Linked DNA regions of Tamandua tetradactyla. The protein of the gene in region 2 purifies or fractionates together with the protein of the main gene of each other region. This does not show direct contact. Links are inferred from orthologs where the notes say so. Each region holds a gene or a part of one and is shown on either strand. Other genes may lie near its edges.

Region 1 (10,685 bases), on a different chromosome or scaffold from region 2:
CTTTTTTTTTTTTTTAATAAATTCAGCCCTCTTCACTCACTTCTTGGTTATTCTCTTATCTAGCACTATGAAACCAATGCCACTTGACCATATGCAACAAAAAATAAAAACCCTCTTTTCTCTGAAATGGAGTCCTCTGTCAAACAAATAGCAATTCTCTTTTTTTTTTTTTAGCTCCTTCATCCAGTATTTTGAATCTTAAAAGTTATAACTTTTCTGAATTTCCCTCTCCCACACCTTTTCTGGCAACATTGGCCTTGCTAATTGGTAGTAACTTTAAAACTCAATTCACTTAAATGATCTACAAAAAAAGGAAATGTCTTTATTCAACTGAAAAAATGATTTATTCCCTGGCATACTTTCAACTATCAGGGAACAAATCCTTCACAGAAAATGCAGAAGATGCATGTTAATTAGTAGTATTAATGAAAAATCAAAAAATTTAGTTTGCAAGCAAACCCACCTGAAGTCTCAACTCATCCAAAAATATTTTGTTTTTTCATTTATTCAAAACTTAGTGTATTTTTATAATCAGTGAAAGGCAGTGAGTAGCCTACAAACATTTTTCTAGCGTAACTACAGCAAATATTGTATTGAGTATAACGTCAATACTCACCACAAGACAAACTGAAGGTCTTTTTAAAAAAGGGCAAACACTAACCCACTATTTGCATTTTAAACTAAGATTAAACATCAAACTCTGAGAATAACCTATATGTCACTGACAGAGGATCACATCTGATACAAGTGTTCGCTCCCCACTAATTCTGACCCTCAAGATGTTTACCCTCCCAGGTCACTGATCCAGTGCCTCTTCTTCTTTCTATCCCGCAGATACTGTTAAACTAGGTTAGCACCACTTCCTCCTTCTTGATGCTTATTTATTTCTCATTTTTATTTTGGATCACGTTCAGTTCTCCAACCTCTGTTCATTGCATGTGACAGACACACAGCCCTTAAAGGTTAACCTCTCACTGATACTTTTAGTCAGGTCCCTAAGTAACATGTATTCTTCACCAATCAGAACAATTGGTGAGTAAGGATTTCCCAAATATGAGACTTCCAAAAGATGCCCCAGGAGCAGACGAAGTATAATATTCCACACCTCAACTCTCAGCCTTCTCCTTAAACAAAATTCCAATAGGACAACTAGATCTAGTGCAAATAACTTTACTGAACACTACAGTGAATGTTAATAAATCATTTCCTAAATGATCAATTTCCTTTTATCTTTACTAGTACCTTCAAACTAGAAGTCTAAAGAACAAAACAATAGCTAATCTGAACAAGGAAAACCAAAAATCTTAGTAAAATACAAAATAGTAAAACAGATCAATTTCAACCATTCCTCAAGCAAAAATTTCTGGGGAAAACTTTTTAGCTTCGAGATGCCACAAAAATTCCAACTCAAGGAATAGTAGCAAAAACCAATATACCCAATTTTCATATAATTCATTTTTCCCTTCCCAAAACAGAAAAAATAGGAAAGTGTGTTTCCTCTTTGTCTGCCAAAGTCAGTAGTAACTGAAGAACTGCTGGATGGCAAGATTATGCACACTAAAATTATATACACTTGACACAATATAACATGCAGCCAGGTCCAAAAGATTAATGATCTTATATTCATTTGATTTGAATAAGTCCAGCTCTTCTTATAGTTCAATCCTGGAAAGTTTAAATCACACCAACCAGAGTAAAAAAAAATTTAGTTAAAGAAGACGTGAGGACTGATCCTAATAGAAATATTTGAAAGGACTATGATAACAAGTAAAAAAAGTTATCAATTTGGCTCAGTTAAGTAATAGCCTATGAAAAGAGCCATGTACAAAGGCAAAAAATAATCTACTTGAAGTTACACACATTATTTATCTCACAGGATGAAAGTAAAAACTACTGTTGCAGCCACAGCTTTAAAAACAAATTACAAGGCACAACAATAAAATTGTTTTTACAATACATCCATATTATGTAGGATGAAAAGATTATACAATCTTCCTTTAAAAGGCAACATTATGGACAACTCTAAAACAAAAATTTAAACAAGTATTTTTTTAAAGTTGCTTTCTAAAATCCTTCTATCATAGTCGCGTTTAAGTCCAAGTCCTCCTCCTCTCAGTAGCCTTAAGATAGTTGCTCCAACTCCCTCTACATCATCCTTCATACAACCAGTTACCTTCCAAAAACACAAAAGTAAGCAGTTACACGGGAATGGGGACTGGCAAGGAGGGATACAGCACTTTATTTAACGGTCACTGGGAGGCCAGACTCAAACAAAGCCCATATGCTAACCTAACATTTGACACTAACCTAACCTTTCTTACTCTCAGATTAAGAGGTTCCCAATACATGTCTAAATTCAGCTTTCCCCCTATCTCAGCCAAACCAATGTGTCTGCCCCTTTCCCATGAAACTATCTTAATAATTACAGTACAAATCTCTAAATATATTTTGGTTTAATATCTGAGCACTCCTTTTATACTAGATACTTGGGATACTAGGGTAAGGTTCCTGTACACAATCTGAGTCAAATGGAAGAGAAAAACTTAACCCAACAGAATATTCAAATATAATTAAAGATACATACTGAGTGCTATGGTAGGACAAATAATTCAAAAATTAATTCTACTCAATGTTATCTGAGATGGCTTAACAAGTGAAAACAGAAATGGACTATGAACTAGAGTTCTCCAGGAAAATATGAAGGGAGCACGAAGTTAAATAAAGACTATGCTTTGCTATTAAAAACCCCTTTGTCTTAAACATAGCTACTTCCTCTATTAGACTGCAAGCTCCTAGAAGGTAGAAGACACATCTTTATTTTTTTATATTCCACAGTGACAGGCAATGCCTTATACATAAACAGTACTCAAACGTTAAACTGAATGTTCCATACTTTCTTTGTGGCATCAGATAATTCACATTTTATAGAAAGAATATTCCTAAAAAAGGAATTTTGGTCAGTGAGTTACAATCTTTCATGGACCAAGACTTTTAGGCGGTTTTCTAAATTGCAGGAAAGCTGGCTAGAACTTTATCAATCTTCATGCCTAAGGGTTATCTTACCATGAAGATACCAATATACAAGTAATAAAAGCCACAAAATGCCCCAACTGTATAATCTATTCTTGAATGAACAAAAATCATTTTTATATTTTCCAGTATCTTACAAAAGATATGTTTTTTTAAAGACAAGAGAAATACCTATAAACATGTCTGTACTACAGCAGTGTTTAAATCCTAAATAACAAGAATAGTAAGCATTCATTAGTATGTTTCTTAAGTTGCAGAGAGCTGGACTTCGTTTCCTTGTAGTAGCCCAACAACTGAATGCTATTTACATACTGGACCCAACTTACCTATCCAGATTCATCTTCTATTTCTCTGTTGCACTCTACTTTTCCTGGCATAGCAGACTACTCAAAACACGGTTACCCATCAGGACAGTGCCTTGTTACAAAATGTTCTGAGGCTCAGATGGCCACCCTAATATAAAACTGATTGATCTTCCCAAGACTACGGACAAATAACCATAAGCATAAACTTTTCATTCCGTTCTGTAGATTCCCCAGACTACTTGTACTTCTCGTTAAGCATTCACTTGGTCTCATAAACAGAATGTACATGGATACACGTCTCTTTCCCCCACTGGACTGTAAAACAGTTGATGGTCGTAGTCTTCAACTCTCACAAACTAACAACACCAAGCCACACATCTAAAAACAGAGTGTGAAATAAAAGTGACTCTCTTGGAAGAGTGAAAATACCAGATTCCACGTAAAAAATCAAGGAATGCAGCTCCAACTTCCCACGTCTTTTCTGAAAAGGAACCCCATTTCCTATAATATCTGTACCTGCTCTTAGTACTCACTAACAGACTCCTGCCTATTAGCAACATGTTCCTAATTTCATATACTCCGTATTCCATAAATCAACTAGTTTGAAAGCTTCGATCATCAATAAAATTAAAAGCGACTTTCTCTTGTTCCTCTAGCTCCGCAAACACGAATTTCCAAAGAAAAAGACCAATAATACACTAAAAGTGAACAAGGGGAAAGTACTATCATTATTTCATTCCCAAATCACTTCGTACAAAAAAAAACAAGCAAGTAGCCTAGAAGCCTGCAGATACACATACTATCCAAGGTTAAGAGTAATGGGCCTTGGTTTAACCAAACCCAATTTAATACTGCTATAAAAGAGGTTGCCATTTTTCAATGTCTTTCTGACTCTTCCTATGTATAAATTGCGCTGACAGCACTTCCAAACGGCGAGACTCCCAGGCCCATTTCCCGGATCCCCTCTTGCCCTAGAATCCTCTTTAGTAGACCGTTTAAACGAGGCCCACTGGTCAAAGAGGAGAAGCAACGCTCCAGGAGCAGCACCCTAACACGGAACAAAGCGCTTGTCTGGAATGTTTAAGTAGGACGCCATTACACAGAGCAGAGGCCTGCATCGCTGGAGGCGACCTAGGCCACAAACCGCAGACTCGGCCTCCTACTAAAAACAAACACACACGCATACACAGGAAAAGGCAGAAACCTAGGAAGACAGACTGTTAGCAGTCTAGGTAGCGGAAGAAGTCCGTTAGCAAGCAAAGATGGCTTACCTTCGTGAGTCTTGGCGATCTTCGCCATTTTGTCCACTCCAACACACAGACGGAACTGGCGCTCCCAAGAACTTCCGCTCGTCGCCGCACCCACGGAGAAAAATAGCTGGGAGTTACTTTCTGCGCAGGCGCCAAACGGGAGCGCGCTCGGTTGGGTGACACGTGATAGAGCAGCCGCCTGCAGGGAGCAGCGAGGCGCATTGTGGGTGTGGGAGGGGCCAAGGGTGGGCCCTGAAGCGGGTCTATTGTGACCCGCAATCGTAATTGAGTAATTTTGTCCTAGGAGAAAGTGCCTTCCGCAAAGCAGTTAAGAATATTGTACGGAATATTATGGTGGATCTTTCTCCAATTCAGTAGAAGGCGTCTTGGAGACCGAGAAAAGCTTTCTTTAGCATTTGTCTCAGCTTTTTCGAGTAATTACTTATGGAGACGATCATAAGTCTTATTCTTCGCGATATAATTTAAGACCATTTTTTTTCCTTTTTTTTTTTTTTTAAATAATTGCCTCTCGTTTGGGTAGCAGTTCCGTTACAACATAAGCTCCCAAATTACTGAACCTCAAAAACAGAGCAGTCAAGTAGGCAAATTGTCGCTAAACCCACTTAAGAAATGAGAGAAAAACTAGAGTTACAAAATAGCAGTTGTGCACCACCATACAATTTCTAAGTTGCAGGCAAGAACCTTAAAACGCTTTTAAAGCCTTTTAACTTTATGGGTTCTTAGAAAAACTTTGATAGTCATTGTTAACAACGTTGAAATGCTTCTTTAAATTTTAAACGTCCTTTCTAAATCAGCAACTTTTATAGATCATCTTATAGCGATCTTTTTTTTCTACTGTGACTGAATGTAACAGTATAACCTCGTATTGTCACGCTGACCTTGGACTTCAGGGTTGGAGAAGCAGAGCTCAGAAGGGAAGCTGAGTCTCTGGAAGCAGGCTGGTAAAATAAGTAGGGATCCAGATTAGAGCTAACACAGAGGAAACAGTTTACCTCACTGTATAAGAGATTCAAACTTCAGTTTAAAAAAAAGGGATTTTTATTAATATCAATGTAAAAATTAAGTTTATGGATTGAAAATTTTCAGTTATTTAATTTTCATTGATTATTAGGTTAAACAATAGTTGGGAGAGGCAGACGAGTGAGATAAGAGCATGTGTATAATTTATACAAATTATTGGTAAAATTCCAAGTTCTTGAGTTGACAGAATGATCTGTGAATATTCATTATATTATTATGCTCTATGACCTATTCGTAGATTACATATATCATTTTGTATATGTAAAGTAGTATATTTTTAAATAATAAAAAATAAATGAAAAATTGGAGAAAGGGTTATTATCCATCAAAAATCAGCAAACAAATAATTCATCCATGTTAACAAAAAAGAATCACAAGAACATTGCATTGCTCATGTTTCTAAAAAAGAAATTTGTTAATGCTGGACGACTTCAGACGTGTAAAAATATATATGCAACAGAAATTTACCACACTATATTAACAGATAGGTGTTTATGAATGGTGGGATCATGGCTAATTTTTTTCTTTATAAAATTTAGGGCTTTTCCCATAAGCATTTATTATTTTTATAATCAGAAAAAAAGTGTTAACAAAATGAAAAGCTGCTATAACGTGGATATCCCATGTCCTTCCTTATCTTTCCAAGGTAGAGAGAAGCTGAGTTTACTGGCACTTTGTATTATGTGCATATTTCTCTGGGTTCTTAAATTTTAAGATGCTTCTGTATGGTAAAGACATATATAAGATAGTAAAATTTGAAAAACTTTGCCAATGATCAAGGGAGACTTCTCTGGAGGACACTCTAATTTTTGACACTCTAATTTATCTTCAATGACATAGCGAACTGAACATTCAGATAGTAAGGAACAAGTTAAGTTTGTTTTTCAAGTCTTTTCACTTTCCATTTTTAAAATAATATTAATATATAATAATCAGATATTACGCACAGTGGGTTGTCTCCTCTGGTGAGATTTTTTTTGTTTACAAGTCAGAGAGAGTGATCTAGCCCTCCTTTTTATAACTTTATAACTTTAACAATTAACAGATGACATCTGTGCTCGTTTGAAACTATTAGGTACCCCAGAAAAGCTGTTTTAATTCTGATCCAATCTTGTCAGACCTATTGTTTAGTATGGGAAACTTTGAATTGTTTCCATGGAGATGTGACATGCCAGTTTGGGTGTGGCCTTTTGAATAGATGGAGATGTGACTCCACCCATTCAAGGTGGGTCTTGATTAGTTTACTAGAGTCCTTTAAAAGGGAAAACATTTTGGAGAAATCTAAGATGCAGATTCTTGAAGAATATTTGCTTCAGAGCTGACACAGCCAGAGATCTTTTGAGATGCTTAGATGCTGACAGAGAGAGCAGATGCCTAGCCACCGGAAGAGCCCAGCAGATTTCCCCACATGCCTTCCCACAAGATGCTAAGCAGGCCAGAACCAGAGTTGTGTCCCGGAGGAGCTAAGTGAAGGCCCACACAGGCTTAGAGAGGAAACCACTGGCATCAGAAGCCAGAAGCAACAGAACCAGAAGCAACAGAACCAGAACAAGGACCAGCAGATGCCAGCCACGTGCCTTTCCGGCTGACAGAAGTATTCCGGACCCACTGGCCTTTCTTAAGTATTCTTAAGAAAGAATTCTTAAGTATTCTCTCTCAAAAGAGAGAGAGAGCTACAGAAGCAAGAACGTGAAATCAATAAAACTCAAAAGAGAAGGAAGAGACTAACAGATATTGCCATGTGGCAGAGGAGCCAAGGATCACCAGCAGCTGGTCTTCATAAAGAAAACATTACCTTAATGATACCTTGATTTAGACAAGTTTCCAAACCCTAACCATAAGCAAATAAATTCATTTAAGCCAAACCATTTTATGATATCTACTTAAAGCAGCTTAGGAAACCAAAATAGCAAATATCCATTTGAGTTCATTCTTTTGATTCTTTGGGGTATATACCTAGAAGAGAAATTGCTGGATCATGTGGTAATTCTATACTTAACTTTCTGAGGAACCACGAAATTGTCCTTCACTACAGCTACAACATTTTGTGTTCCCATGAATGACTGGGTCTTCCTATTTCTCTGAATCCTCTCTAATACTTGTAATTTTCCATGTTTTTAAAAATAGTAGCCATTCTAGTGAGTGTGGAATGGTATCTCATCATAGTTTTGATTTGCCTTTCCCTAATGGCTAATAACGTTGAACATATTTTCATGTGCTTTTTGGCCGTTAATGTATCTTCTTGGAGAAATGTCTATTCAAGTCTTTAGCCCATTTTTTTAAACTGAGTTGTCTTTTTGTTGTTGAGTTGTAGGATTTCTGTATATAGTCTGATATTAAACTCTCATCAGATATGTGGTTTCCAAATATTTTCTTCCATTGTGTAGGTTGTTATTTTGCTCTCATGATGAAGTCCTTAGAAGCACTAAAGTTTTTATTTTGGTGAGTTCCCATTTACTTATTTGTTTTGTTGTTCATGCTTTGGGTATAAAGTCCAAGAAACCATTGACTAACACAAGCTGCTAAAGAGGATCCCTCTGTTTTCCTCTAGCTGTTTTATAGTTCTAGTTTTTATATTCAGGTCTTTGATCCACTATTTTTTTATTACAGAAGTTTTGGGTTTATAGAGTAATCATGAATAAAATATAGAATTCCCATATGTGCTGGTTTGAAACGATTATGTACCCCAGAAAAGCCATGTTCTTTTTTCTAATTCAGTCTTGTGGGGGCAGACCTATTGTCTGGGTGGGATCTATTTGATTAAGTTATTTCTATGGAAATGAGACCCACTCAGTTGTGGGTGGGGCCTTAATCCACTTATTGGAGTCCTTTAAGAGGGAAGCATTTTGGGGGAAAAATTTCAGAGCTGACACAGACAGAGATGTACACAGAAGAGATGTTTGCAGATGCAGAAAGAAAACACCCCCAGGGGAGCTGTTTGAAATCAGAAGCCACCATCAAATGGCAGCCACATGCCTTCTCAGCTGACAGAAGTGTTCCAGATGTGATCAGCCTTTCTTGAGTCAAGGTATCTTTCTCTAGATGCCTTAGTTTGGACATTTTTATGGCCTTAGAACTATAATTTGTAACTTAATAAACTCCTTTTGTAAAAGCCAACCCATTTTTGGTATATTGTTTCCCAGAAGCATAAGCAAAGTAAAACACCATATCTTCCCTACAGTTAACACTTTGCACTGATATGGTATATTTGTTACAATTGTGAAAGTATATTTTTATAGTCATACTATTAACTATAGTCCATGGTTTAACTTAGGGTTCACTATTTGTATAATGCAGTTTCAAGGATTTTTAAAACATTTTGACCTATTACCATACATAACCTAATATTTCTCCATTTGTCCACATTAAGATATATATTTCAGCATTGTTAATTATGTTCACAATGTTGTATTACCATCCTACCATTCATTACCAAAACACTTCCATCATTCAAGATAGGAACTCTGTACATTTTAAGTTTTAAATCCCTGTGCCAGTTTGAATCTGTGGAGGACACCAGAAAAGCCTTGTTCTTTAATCCTCATTCAATATTGCTGACTTGGAGCTTTTGATTGTTCCCATGGAGATGTGACTCACCCAATTGTGGGTGGTAACTTTTGATTAGAGAGAGATGTGACTCCACCCATTCCAGGTGGGCCGTGACTAGATTTTTTAAAAGAGGAAACATTTTAGAGACCGTCCCTTTTTTAGAGCCAGAAAAATGATGAGAGCCAGAGCCCACACCACCAAAGACCTTTGGAGATAAAGAAGGAACACATCCCTGGGGGAGCTTTATGAAATAAGAAGCCTGAAGAGAAAGCTAGCAGATGCCATGTTCACCATGTGCCTTTCCAATTGAGAGAGAAACTCTGAACTTCATCAGCCTTTCTTGAGTGAAGGTAACCTCTTCCTGGTGCCTTAATTTGGACATTTTTACAGACTTGCTTTATTTTTATTGGGACATTTTCATGGCTTTAGAACTGTAAACTAGCAACTTATTAAATTCCCCTTTTTAAAAGCCATTCCAGTTCTGGTATATCACATTCCAGCAGCTAGCAAACTAGAACATTCCCTATTCCCAATCTTCATCTTATCCCCTTATAACCTATATTCTAGATTCTGACCCTATAGATTTGCTTATTATTTCATATCAGTGAGATCATACACACCTTTTGTGGCTGGCTTATTTCACTCAACAAGCAGTTTTCAAGGTTCATCTGTGTTGTTGCATCTATCAGAACTTCATTACTTTTTATGGCTGAATAATATTCCATTGTGTGTATACACCACATTTTGTTTATCCATTCATTACTTGATGGACACGTGGGCTGTTGCCATCATTTGGCAATTGTGAATAATGATACTATGAATGTTGGTGTGCAAATATTTGTTCAAGTCTGTGCTTTCAATTCTTGTAGGTATATACCCAGAAATGGGATTGCTGGGTCATGTGGTAATTTTATTCTTAATCTTCAGAGGAACTGTCTTCCTCAAACTATCTTCCACAGCAGCTGCACAATTTTACACTACCAGCAATACTGAATGAGAGTTCCTATTTCTCCACATCCTCTCCAAGACTTATAATTTTCTGGTGCTTTTTTTTTTAAATAGTAGCCATTCTAGGGCACATGAAATGGTATCTTATTGTAGTACTGATTTGCATTTCCCTAATGGCTAATGATGGTAAGGATCTTTTCATGTGCTATCTGGCCATTTGTATATTTTCTTTGGAGAACTGTCTAGTCAAATCTTTGTGCATTTTTTAATTGGGTTGTTCCCTGATAGAGATTGAGTAGATTTTTGTATATGGTATGAGGTAGGAATTCACCTTCATTCTTTTGCATATAGGTATCCAATTTACCCAGTCCCATTTTTAAAAATTTATTTATTTATTAATTAAAAAAATTAACAATAAATGAACTAAAACATTAACATGTGATCATTCCGTTCTACATATATAATCAGTAATTCACAATATCATCACTTAGTTGCATATTCATCATTTCTTAGAACATTTGCATCAATTCAGAAAAAGAAATAAAAAGGCAACAGAAAAAGA
Region 2 (10,886 bases):
GAAATATCTATGTTCTATTTATTTTTGTATTCTATAATGCTTTGTCTATAGTAGTTACCTAGTAAGTGAAGTGGGCAGCAAAAGCTTTGAGAAAGGGAGTAGGGGGGACGGAGGGTATTACAGGAAGAAATTCAAGGCTGGGCTCTAGGTAGTCATCAGTACCACCTGTTCTCTTTGTTTCTCCCTACAGACCAAGTTGCTGATAATATGCTTTGTGCAGAACTCAGTAACACATACACACAAACATTACTGAGTTCAATGTCATATATCATCTTCCATTTGTAAAATTTCTGCACTAGAATAGTCACTAAGCACTTACTTGCCGACCTACTCGGTCAGGAGGCGGCCACAAAGCATCATCTTCTTTGGTAATTTCACTGTCATCAATTATCCTCTTCAGTTCTTCCATCACACTTTTATGTACATAAGCCTGAAAGTAAATAAAAAAACAATTTAAGTTGTATCCCGAAGCGGTGCCTTGATTCAGATGAAGATGGATGATAATGTCAACTACTTCTGGAGACTTATTTCCGGCACCACCGTAAGTGGGAAGACATTCAGGCTTGATCTCGGCATCTTGGAGAAGAGGGATAGGATCACCTCAATCCTCCATCTAGTTCTTAGCTCCTCTTGGCACATCTTGGTCACAATGACTGTCTTCTGCCCACATACTCAACTGACACCTGAACCCAGAATAGAAGATCTGGGTAATCACTAAATGTCTGTGAATGTCTCACATCCTGGTTACTTTTAACTACATGACATGCTTCTGAAGAGCAGAGACATATCTTTTAAAGTACATTTTGGATATAAGTCCATGTAGAAAAATGTGAGGATGCTGACATGTGTGGATAAATATAAAAACAATTGCTAATTAGACATAATATTATGAAAATATATAAACTGTAAAGACACTTTTAAATATGACAAAATGGTTAAAAGGCAAGTGTGGCTTTGAGGAAGCCTTAAAGGCATAGTAGAAATCACGAAAGAATGGAGCATATGGACTTGAGAAATGTATGCATGTTTGAATTCCTCTATTTTTTACTAGCAGAGGTGTCTTTGAACAAGTCCTTTAGTTAAGATCTGTGCCTTCATTTTCTAAAGATGATATATACCATCTATTACACGGACTTACAATCAGCGTTAAATAAGTTCCTTCATGTAAAATACCTAGCTCCATGCCTGGCATCTAACATGTATTCAACGAATGTTAGCTGCTTTACCATGTTCCCTGTCATTTCAAATTCAAATTCAACAGTATCTCTCTCTACTGAGTATATGTGTCAAGAAATATATGAAGCACTTTAAGTTTAATGTATTTAATTCTCTGTCAGAGCTGGGGATGGATGAGTTCTATTAACCTTGTTTTTGCAGATGAAGAAACTGAGACTTGAGTTCAGCCAGGAAACTTGCCAAGGTCACATGTTTAGTAAGAAACAGGTTCAGGGTTCAAACCAAGATCTGCCAGACTCCATGATGACCAGTAACTGATTCTACACTGTGAATGAAAGCATAAACTAAAGGAATATCTGAGAAGGAATTGAGAAGCTGCCTACAGTTGTGTCTACTTCCCAGTTCTTTATCTTTCAATATTACTTCCAGAAAGAACAAAAATAACACAAGGAAAAGTCTCTACTGTAGTGAATGAAGGTTCATACCTCTTTTCTGATCATGACATCATTTTTGTAATTGCTGTTATTGGCATATCTCAATTTCCCTGTGAGGGGCAAAAAAAACAAATTCAATGTACAATTAAAAATAAATAGCCTACCAAGATTATCACTTGTTGCTTAAAATGTACCCTAACTTTCCCTTCAAATTGTCTAAGAAATTTACTATTTACACCTTGTGTTTCAACAATGCTAGTCTTTTCAGTTCCTCACTTTAGGCTATTAAACATCCTCACAGCCAAAAATATGGCTGACATTGAACTATATTTCTTGCAAAAGACAGCTCAAGTGTGGGAAAAGAACATAGCAGGGGTGGTTCAGTGGTAGAATGCCTGCCTTTCATGTGGGGGACCTGGGTTCGATTCCTGGGCCATGCACCAAAACAAAACAAAAAACCACACAAAACATGGCAGGCTCTTTTGTGATCGTGGGTAAAGGACAGCTCTGTGAAAATAGGAACATAATTGATAAAATATCTGACTCAGGGCTTCCTGAGGCGCAAATGAGTTGTGAAAGCATTTTGAAAAATGTAAAGGCTGTTTTTATACATTATCAGATGACTGTACAACACTGAACTATTCCTGTAATATAAAAGTTGCGCTTTTATAACTGAGCACATTTGGTTTACATGCCCTTGGTGAGCCTCCACATGTACATCCAACAATCTGATCTGGGTATATGGTGGGGAATGAAAGAGAAGATAAAAGGAAATAGAAGACATTATTTTTTTACCTAATAGAGGGCACATATTAAAAAAAGCCAAATTATTCTAATGGCCTCTGTACTGTCTCTCTGCTTCGAGTCTCTTTCTTTCAGTTCGGAGCCCAAGTGATCTAGTAACAGACCTATACGAATAGGTTACTCTGATACTTCAATGGATCCCCACAGCTTTCCTGATAAAATCCAAACTCCTCAGCATGGCATACTGTCAATGTGTGTGCCCACCTACTTTTCCAACCTCAATCCTGCAATATTCCTCTCTCCCATAGCTGGGGAGTCAACCAAACTGCTTGGGTTCTATTTGAAACATTACATGTCCTTTTTGATTTTCAACCTCTTGACTGATAATGCTGTCCAAAATGCCTTACTGATTCTTGTCTGCCTAACCAACTCCTACATATTCCTAAATACTCACTCCACTCCCCTCAAGCTACACTTCATTTACAATGCCTTTCCTGACCTTCAGGGCACTTGCTTACGTGCCCTCTCTCTGCTCCCAGGTCTCCACTATCTTTATATCACAGTACCTAAAACAGTACTTTCTCACCATCTTCAACTCTATCTCCCTCAAAATCAGGACTTCGCAGGTTCATCTTTCTTCTACCATTTAGTAGAAGTTTTGGTATCTTTGATACCTTTCTTTCACTTCAGTGCCCACTCCCCAAATTCTTTCAGCGAAGTCTCAGTTGGTTCTGCTTCCAACAGTATCCTAAATGCTTCTCTCCAGTTCTACTACCACCCCGGTCCCAACTGATAACCTTTCGTCTTGACAATTGTAACTGTCTCCTAGTAAGCAGCCCTGTTTCCACTTTTGCCCATTTTGCATCCAACAATGAATACTCTTTTCAAAAACAGAACAGATCACATCACTTCCCTGCTTAAAACTTTCCAACTGTTTTCTGCCGCATTTACAATAAAATCCAATATGGCTTACGTGATGTGGCCGCTATCTCACATCACCTCATGCTATTTTCCTGGGAGCTTACTATTCTTCAGTGACACTGGTCACTTGAAACATGCCTAGCTCATTTCCTACAGCCTTGGCACTTTCTACTCCCTGTCTACAATGCCTTTGCTCCTGAGCTTCACAGCACTGATTCATTCTTGCCACTCAGACCTCAGTTCAAATTATCCTTTCTTCAGAGAGCACTCCAATGGCCACCCTATCTTAAAGCAACTCATCCAGTAATTAGTCTTTTTGCTTTATTTTTTTCTGACCGCTCATCACTACCTGGAATCTTCTTTTTTGCTTGTTTGTGATCTGTCTCTAGCACTAGAATATAAATGCTGAGAGAGTATGCTTGTCCATCTTCTTCACTGCTGTATCCCCAGAGAGCGGAAAAAAGCCTGGCACAAAGGGAGCATTCAGTGTTTGTTAAATGAAAGCACTCTGGTCAAACATGTTTCTAAACAGGAGTCCTTGCATATGGATAGAAAGATATGGAACCAGTGGAATCGGCACAGGAACGTTCCTTTCAGGTCCGCGCTATACAGGTCTTAGTCCCTCGCTCCTCTCATTCACCGCACATTTCCGACTCTTAGGCCTCCTCACTCCCCCGCCCCAGGCCTAGTACCCGCTCCCCACTGCGCCAGGCCGCTCTTACCGTCAGGTCGGAACTCAAATTCCAGAAACTCGTGGCCGAACTTGCCCTTGTGACCCACATAGTAACGCAGATAAAAGTCACTCTCCATGGCTCATAAAAGGCCACGGAGACTGAACTTACATAGCAAACAGCGCGGCGGCTGTACGCGACCAACACTGACGTTCGGCGGCGCGGAGAAGTGACGTCACGACAACGCCGTCGCGAGAGCAAGGGATCCCTCCCTGCCCGTACCCGCGAGAACAAGGCTGCGGCGTCCCTTTCTCCCAGAGGCGGAAACAAGGCTGCCTCGCCCCTCCCGTTCGGGGGCGGGGTCAAGGCTTCCCTCCCGTCCCCACCCCCGTAACCCGGAAGCGCCTGCCGTGGTTTTCCTTAGTTCTGGGTTTGTTCGAATTCTCCAGAGGGAGTCTGGAATCTCGCTGTGAGGCCAAGACTCGTCGCCAGGAGCTCTCCGGCCTGAATCCCTCCTAGTCCTGCACCCCCCTCCAGGCCTAACCCCCGACCTTGTGTGAGTCAGGCAAGCTCTTCATTGTCTCTGGACATAGGTCTTCTCAACAGTAAAATGGGGTTAAATGCTCCCATCTCACAGAACCCGGGAGAGGACCGCCGCGAATGATGTTTGTGTCTAAAGTCAGCCTCGACTGAACTTTGCTGTTTAAACATCAATTCAAGAAAACCGTTCTCTGTAACGCTTTCTCTGAATCCATAGTGGAGATTGCCATCTCTCTGGAACTAACCCCCCCCCGCCCCCCACAGTTGGTTATCCTTCATTTTACGCTTTTCTAACTTATTATGAATGTTTAATTGTCCCCTGGTCTCTATAGTAGGTTCTGTGAGTAAAAGTTAAATTGAATATTTTGATCTTCCACTCCTCGGTCCTCTGTGTACTGCTTATCCAACAGTGATTCTCAGCCCTGGCCGCCCATTAGAGTCATTGAGGAGCTAGAAAACATACTGATACCCAGACCCCACCCCAAACCAATGAAATAAATCCTCTAAGGATGTATATGGGCATTGGTGAGTCAGGGTTGAAGACCACAGCGTTAGAGAATGCTACATTTGCAAATGTCCTTTGGGGGCACTAAAAATAACTTTGTGCAGTTATTTCACCATTTTGGGATCGTCTCATCTGTAAAATGGGGCGAATAATATTGATAATATTTATCTCACAGATTGTCAAAGACTGAGATAATGTAAAACACGTGTTACACAACAGGGGCTCAGTGTTAGTCCACTCCCCCCTCATTAAAACATCACAATGAAACAATGCTTCCAGATTTTAAAAAAAATGAATTTAATCTTTCTAGAAACAGGGCACTGATTTTACAAATGTTCACATTTGGTTTTCAGTTCATCAGGATAATTCCAGTACAGCTAGTGAAATGCAGCACACCACCCTCAGTCCCTTTGCCTCTGGAAGAGAAACCAGACTGCACTGAGCACAGAAGGTAACCAAACTTGGAATGACAAAGTGAAAAGAGCAGAAATGGTTAGGGCAACCCAACATTCTAACATGCCTGTCACATCAAAGACAGTAATTTGGGTGGGGAAGATAAAGACAAACAAGGAAAATCCATTGGGCACAATGTGATGGAGTTTGCAAACCAGTACTTCACCCTCAAAATAACAGCAGCTTGTATAGAACAAAACACTATGTTAAAGTAGACGGTTTGTACAGGTATGCTTTCTCTTGTAGTTTTTGTAAAAAAGTATCAAAACCTTCACATCTTTAAATATATATACAGGTGGCTTTTTTCTTTATTACTTTTTATAGCACAAAGTGTTTGCAAATGCAGAGGGTTTCTGCTGATTCTTGACTGTGCACATGGTGCATAGCCTGAATGAACAAAGCTTCCTGATTTCTTATAGTAACTGAAAAATTGAAGCTTTTAATTCTTCCACTTTCTAAATTCGCCATACCCTGAAAATCCCATATACCCTAAAAAATACAGTGAGAAGACTCTGATATTCTACCTTCATGCATTGATGAGAAAGGAAATTATTTAACCTGCAACTGTTATACTAACTCATTTACATTCTATGACATGAGAGTATGGCTGGATTTAGGTGGTAGAGGAGGTAGGTTCACTTTAGTGTACCCTTCCCCCATTCCCACTAGCTTGTGACTGGAGAATGACTGGCATCCCCTCTCCAGACTCCACGCCTTCAAACTCCCAGTTTTCTTTTTTCGTGGTTGAGAAAATCTCAGAGGCTTTTAATAAGATGGAATATTTCTGTAAAAATCCCACTGCCCTTATATTAGTTCTCATTGACCTCATCAAAACACTGACTCAAATATATGAAAAGCAGTCAAGATTTCCCTTTGGCCATTAGAAAGCTTGAGGCTGAACACTGTCACATCTGCAAAGTGCTGGCAGTACATCCTGGTGAATTGTCCTTGATACACTTGGTGCCTCATACACAATCAAGGATCAAAAAGCCTTGCTTAATTGAATCAGAAACTAAATAGTATTTTATAAAGTGCTTACACTGAACCTGTTTTTCCATCCAGCCTCATTTCATGCTAAATTTCCCTTGAGCTTTATGCTCCAGCTAGAATGAACAGGTACAATTCCTTAACAATTCCAAGATGTTACATGCATCTGTCTTAGCTCAGTGTTTCCTCTGTCTGAAGCAGCCTGGACACTCCTACTGAACTTTTAAGACTTAGCTTAAGGACACTTCTCCTATAATGCCATTCTTGATCCCATTTCTCAGTTCCCCGGGTAGAAATGTCCATTTTCCCCTTTGTGTCCCAACAGTACTCTAAATACAATCTATCACTTTTGTTTTCACATGTGCCTTTCCTTACTGTGACTCTGAGCTCCATAAGGACAAGGATGAATTGTTCTTTATGTTCTGGCTTAGTGCCCAGCACACAGTTGGTACCTAGCAAATAGTTTAAAGTGAATGAACATATTGTAATTACACAGAGCCAGAGGGATCAATAGTACTTACTGCCATTGACTTAAATTCCATCTCATCCTCTTTTTGCCAGGTGAAGTTACAGGCTATCTCAACCTGTTTTATTAAAAATCATACTAGTTTGCCCTGTTTCTGGAAGGCCATTTCTGCCCATGCCTTCAGAATTCCACTGGACAGATAAGCCTAAAATAGGCAGCAGATTTGAAGTAACGTCCAGGCAGCCCCAAGTAGTCTGAAGAAAGAGGAAAAGAACTGGATATGGCTTCTTTTTAAAATGGAGCAAATATTGTGATAAATTCATTTTCTGCTCTGCTGACATTTTCTCTAAGATTTTTTTCCAGCTCTATGATTCATTATTGGCTATGCTATGTATGGGCAGGGGGAGTGGGAGGCAACAGAAATAAATTACACCTCAAAATGAGGCTCAAAAACCTCTAAAATTGGAAGAATGTACCATTGGTCTGGGAAGTCTGATTTTCCCAACATGTATTCCCCCCGCCCCATTTTGCAGGAAAGCCCTTTACACATGAGATGTTGATTCTGTACTTTTTCTGGGAGGTACTGGGAATAAGGGAAGGATGGACTTGACTCCACAGATTTTATTGTATTTACTGCCATCTAACACATGAGCATTTCAGTTTGTGTCTTGTAGGTTGCTCCCAAAGCTGCCCTCTTTCAAGCTACAGTTGTAGTATAGTCAGGAAACATGGATGTCTCTAAAAAAGTTGTGAGTTTTATCATCATTTTGAGATCTGAGGCTGTTATCGTTCTGACCTCATTCATTTTTTTTTTTTTCTGGGAAGGCCAGGAACTGACTGAAAGTTTAGAAATTATGCTAGTCACGTTGTCATTAATAACCTAGGAAATTCAGGCAATTTCTTTGTAAGCAGGTTACAGACAAGTCACTTGTAAATTCCAGTGTTCTTCAGTCAAAAATAATTTTACTTTCTATTCTTGAAAGAATAATAGTAAATTATTAAGCTCCATAGGAGTTGGTCACCTGTTCTTAAAATTCTGTTTGGTATTGATCATTCTAGGTCAATTGCATTTGCCCTCTCAGTGAATGTTTCTGGACTATCAATACATGCATATCATGAGGAAATGTTTTATGTGCCCAGGCTCCAGAGCACAGTTGTTTTCACAGAGGTTATGAAACCACGAGTGGCAGAGAAAAGTCCTAAGAACAGGATGATATAACTCTTCAATGTCTGCCTGGAAATTCTGGGGGGAATCAAGCTGGTGAAACATCCAAGCTTCATTGAGTTAGGGGCCAGGAGGGCCTTTGCTTAAATATGTCAAGTTCCAGGAATGTTAAGGTTAAATGCATGTCCTTGCCCTTACTTAAGTCAAGTACTTCCGTGTCACACCTTGTCTCTAGTTGTCCAGTGAAATTGAAAGTAAAGTGGCAGAACAGCAGAGAAAGAGTTAAGAAAAGGCCACATCTTGGATGAAAAAGCCAGAAGGAACCAAATTCCTTCTGGGACTGTAGGATTATGTTTCCAATGGTAGATCCTCACAAAGAGAAAACAGCATTTCTCCTTGCCCACCCATCTGGCCCAGGAAAAGCAAAGAAAGTGTCCATAATGAAAAAAATCTATACATATAGCCAGAGTATTTCCTTTTATTTACAAGGCAGTAAACCAAATCCCTGTGTGACCATATATGTCCAAAATACTCTGATATATATGGTGTATACCATTTCCCTCCTCAAATATAACTTCAGGTTTGGCCACTGATTTTGACTTAAACCCAAATTATGAACATACTATGGTTAAAAAAAAAACAAACTATTTAATACTTTAAAAATATGCTTTCATCACTTAGCAGATATGATAGAAAGTAAAAGGGAGAAATAAGATTCCATCATCCTTGTCCTCATCCACAGTGTGTCTCAGATGTTCGGGGCCTGAGCCAGTCCCTAGGGTGAACTTGGGACATCCTAGAAACATTCTCCACTTAGCTCTGTAGGTGAGGATGATGGCATCTTTCAAGGTGCTGCAGAGGAAACTTACTGATTTTAACCCAAGTATCCTGAAGAAAATTAAAGAAATGACTCAAGTTGCTGAACTTTAAAACTAGGAGTATCTGAGGTCCTGGCATGTTCTGACTTAAGCTCGCGAGTGCTTCTGGCACTGTGTAAAGTCTATATGCTGGCCTTAGCCACAGAAGAGAAAACCCAGGTAGGAGCTACAGCAGCCACGGGCAAGCTGCTGGGCTTTTCCTGACTGACTAGAGTCCCAGGAATAGCCAGAAGTGGAAAAGATCTTCCCCTTCCACTAGATGTTTGCACAATCCATGGTATCTGTTTTCTGAGTCAAATTTCCAAAAATTCTCTGAAAACTACAGATACCCATTTTGTGGATTGTTTTAAAATATATTTAGTATTTGAATAATAGCCATAGGTACACAAACTTCTCTACAGATTTTTCTCTTCACACACACATAAACACACATACAGAGTCTGCGTGGTGGGCCAAGCATACCAAAAATAGATACTCTTGCTTCTCTAAATTATTTATAGAACTAATCTTATCTTTGAAATATGTTAATAAATAATCTAAATGGGGGAGGGAATGGGAGTGTTTCTTCTTTTTTTTTACTTATGTTGATGGATAGCCACAAAGCATAATCATTTTATTTACAAACAAAACAAAACAAAACCTCCAAACCTAAAAAAATTCCCAAACACTCTTTGTAAATATAGTTTTTAAATGATGAGTAAGCTACCGTACCATTGGCCCCAGTTTGGTTATATACATCATTGTTAGTCACTCAGCAGTAGCCATTCCATGAATTCCTCATGGGTAGTGCAGCCAGTTAAAAAGTGTATAAAACATTATACATATAAAAACTCTCACATCCTTTGGATGTTTGCAGTTCATCATAACTTTGTGGTTACCTTTCCGCAACATAAATTAAAAAAAAAAAAAATGCACACACACACACACTCTCACACAGACCCATATACAGAAACCCATCTCTCCAATCATACACCATCCAGAAAGTGTAGTGCATGGGACTGAATTCCATGAGGCACGAAGGGAGTGGTCTCATCCTCAGGGCAGTCCATCATCTTCAAGGCTTAATGCCACTCGCTGGGGAGCAGACCAAAAAAAAGTCATCATTAGACCTATAACAGCTACTCTTTATTGAATAGCCACAAGGTACCAGATAGTCTATTACTTTAAAGACATTAGCTATCATAATTTTCAGACAAACCCAAGAGACATGATTTATCATACTTATTTTACAGATGGGACAACTGAGACTCAGTGAGCTTAAGTAACTTTTGTCCGGGATCAAGCAAGTGTGCAAACTAAAATTTGAACCCAGGTCTGTATGAATTCAGAACTGTTGCTCTTTCCATTATTCTGTCCTGCCTCTTTGTAAAGCAGGAGTGCAGACATCTGAGCTTTCTCAATTCTTCTTATATGATTTTACATTTGGCCAACTTTAGTGGGTCAGCTTTGGCAAATGTTTAAATCAAGGCCATTAGCTACTTGTCTCCAGCATGCTAATCATAATTAGGAAGCTATATGGTGCCTCTTTCTCAATTAATTATACAGAATTGGAGGGCATTCTGTATAATTCTTTCCCTCTTTTCCATACTTCTACTTTCTAGTCATTAGATGCTAGGGTCTTCTCTGACCCAAATGATCATCTTCTAAACGGTGAGCCCACTAACCCCTATCCCGTTCTATCTGTTCCATTGTGTACAGTGGACTTCAGTTAAATACTTTCCTATATTGATGTGAAATCTATTTCTTTATATCTTCCAATGTTCCTTGATTCTATCTCTTAGACTCAAAGAGACAAACCTTGAAATTTGTAGTTTGTGTTTAACTTTCCTTCCTTTTGTGGTTTTTCTTCTATAGGCTACACATCTAGCTTTCCCCAGCCAGATGTAACTTGTTTCCTACACTTCTATTTCTAGGATACTTTCCTTTTGACAGACTCCAGTTTTTCA

What was found.
Region 1: the proteins of MAGOH (region 2) and SF3B1 purify together in Homo sapiens (co-immunoprecipitation; 3 studies listed by BioGRID and IntAct, with this or other methods). This does not show direct contact. The link is inferred for Tamandua tetradactyla from reciprocal best matches to the Homo sapiens genes MAGOH and SF3B1.

Annotation. Positions count from the first base shown.
Region 1 is NC_135329.1:171,667,862-171,678,546, forward strand, and holds the start of SF3B1 (splicing factor 3B subunit 1), read right to left. Parts: upstream 4,783-10,685; 5' UTR 4,635-4,782; coding exon 4,607-4,634; intron 1-4,606. UniProt on the Homo sapiens protein: Component of the 17S U2 SnRNP complex of the spliceosome, a large ribonucleoprotein complex that removes introns from transcribed pre-mRNAs.
Region 2 is NC_135328.1:168,388,042-168,398,927, reverse strand, and holds the start of MAGOH (protein mago nashi homolog), read right to left. Parts: upstream 4,185-10,886; 5' UTR 4,086-4,184; coding exon 3,998-4,085; intron 3,981-3,997; exon of another isoform or gene 3,625-3,980; intron 1,721-3,624; coding exon 1,662-1,720; intron 431-1,661; coding exon 320-430; intron 1-319. Other genes in the region: LRP8 (low-density lipoprotein receptor-related protein 8), read right to left, coding at 9,976-10,014. UniProt on the Homo sapiens protein: Required for pre-mRNA splicing as component of the spliceosome. Plays a redundant role with MAGOHB as core component of the exon junction complex (EJC) and in the nonsense-mediated decay (NMD) pathway.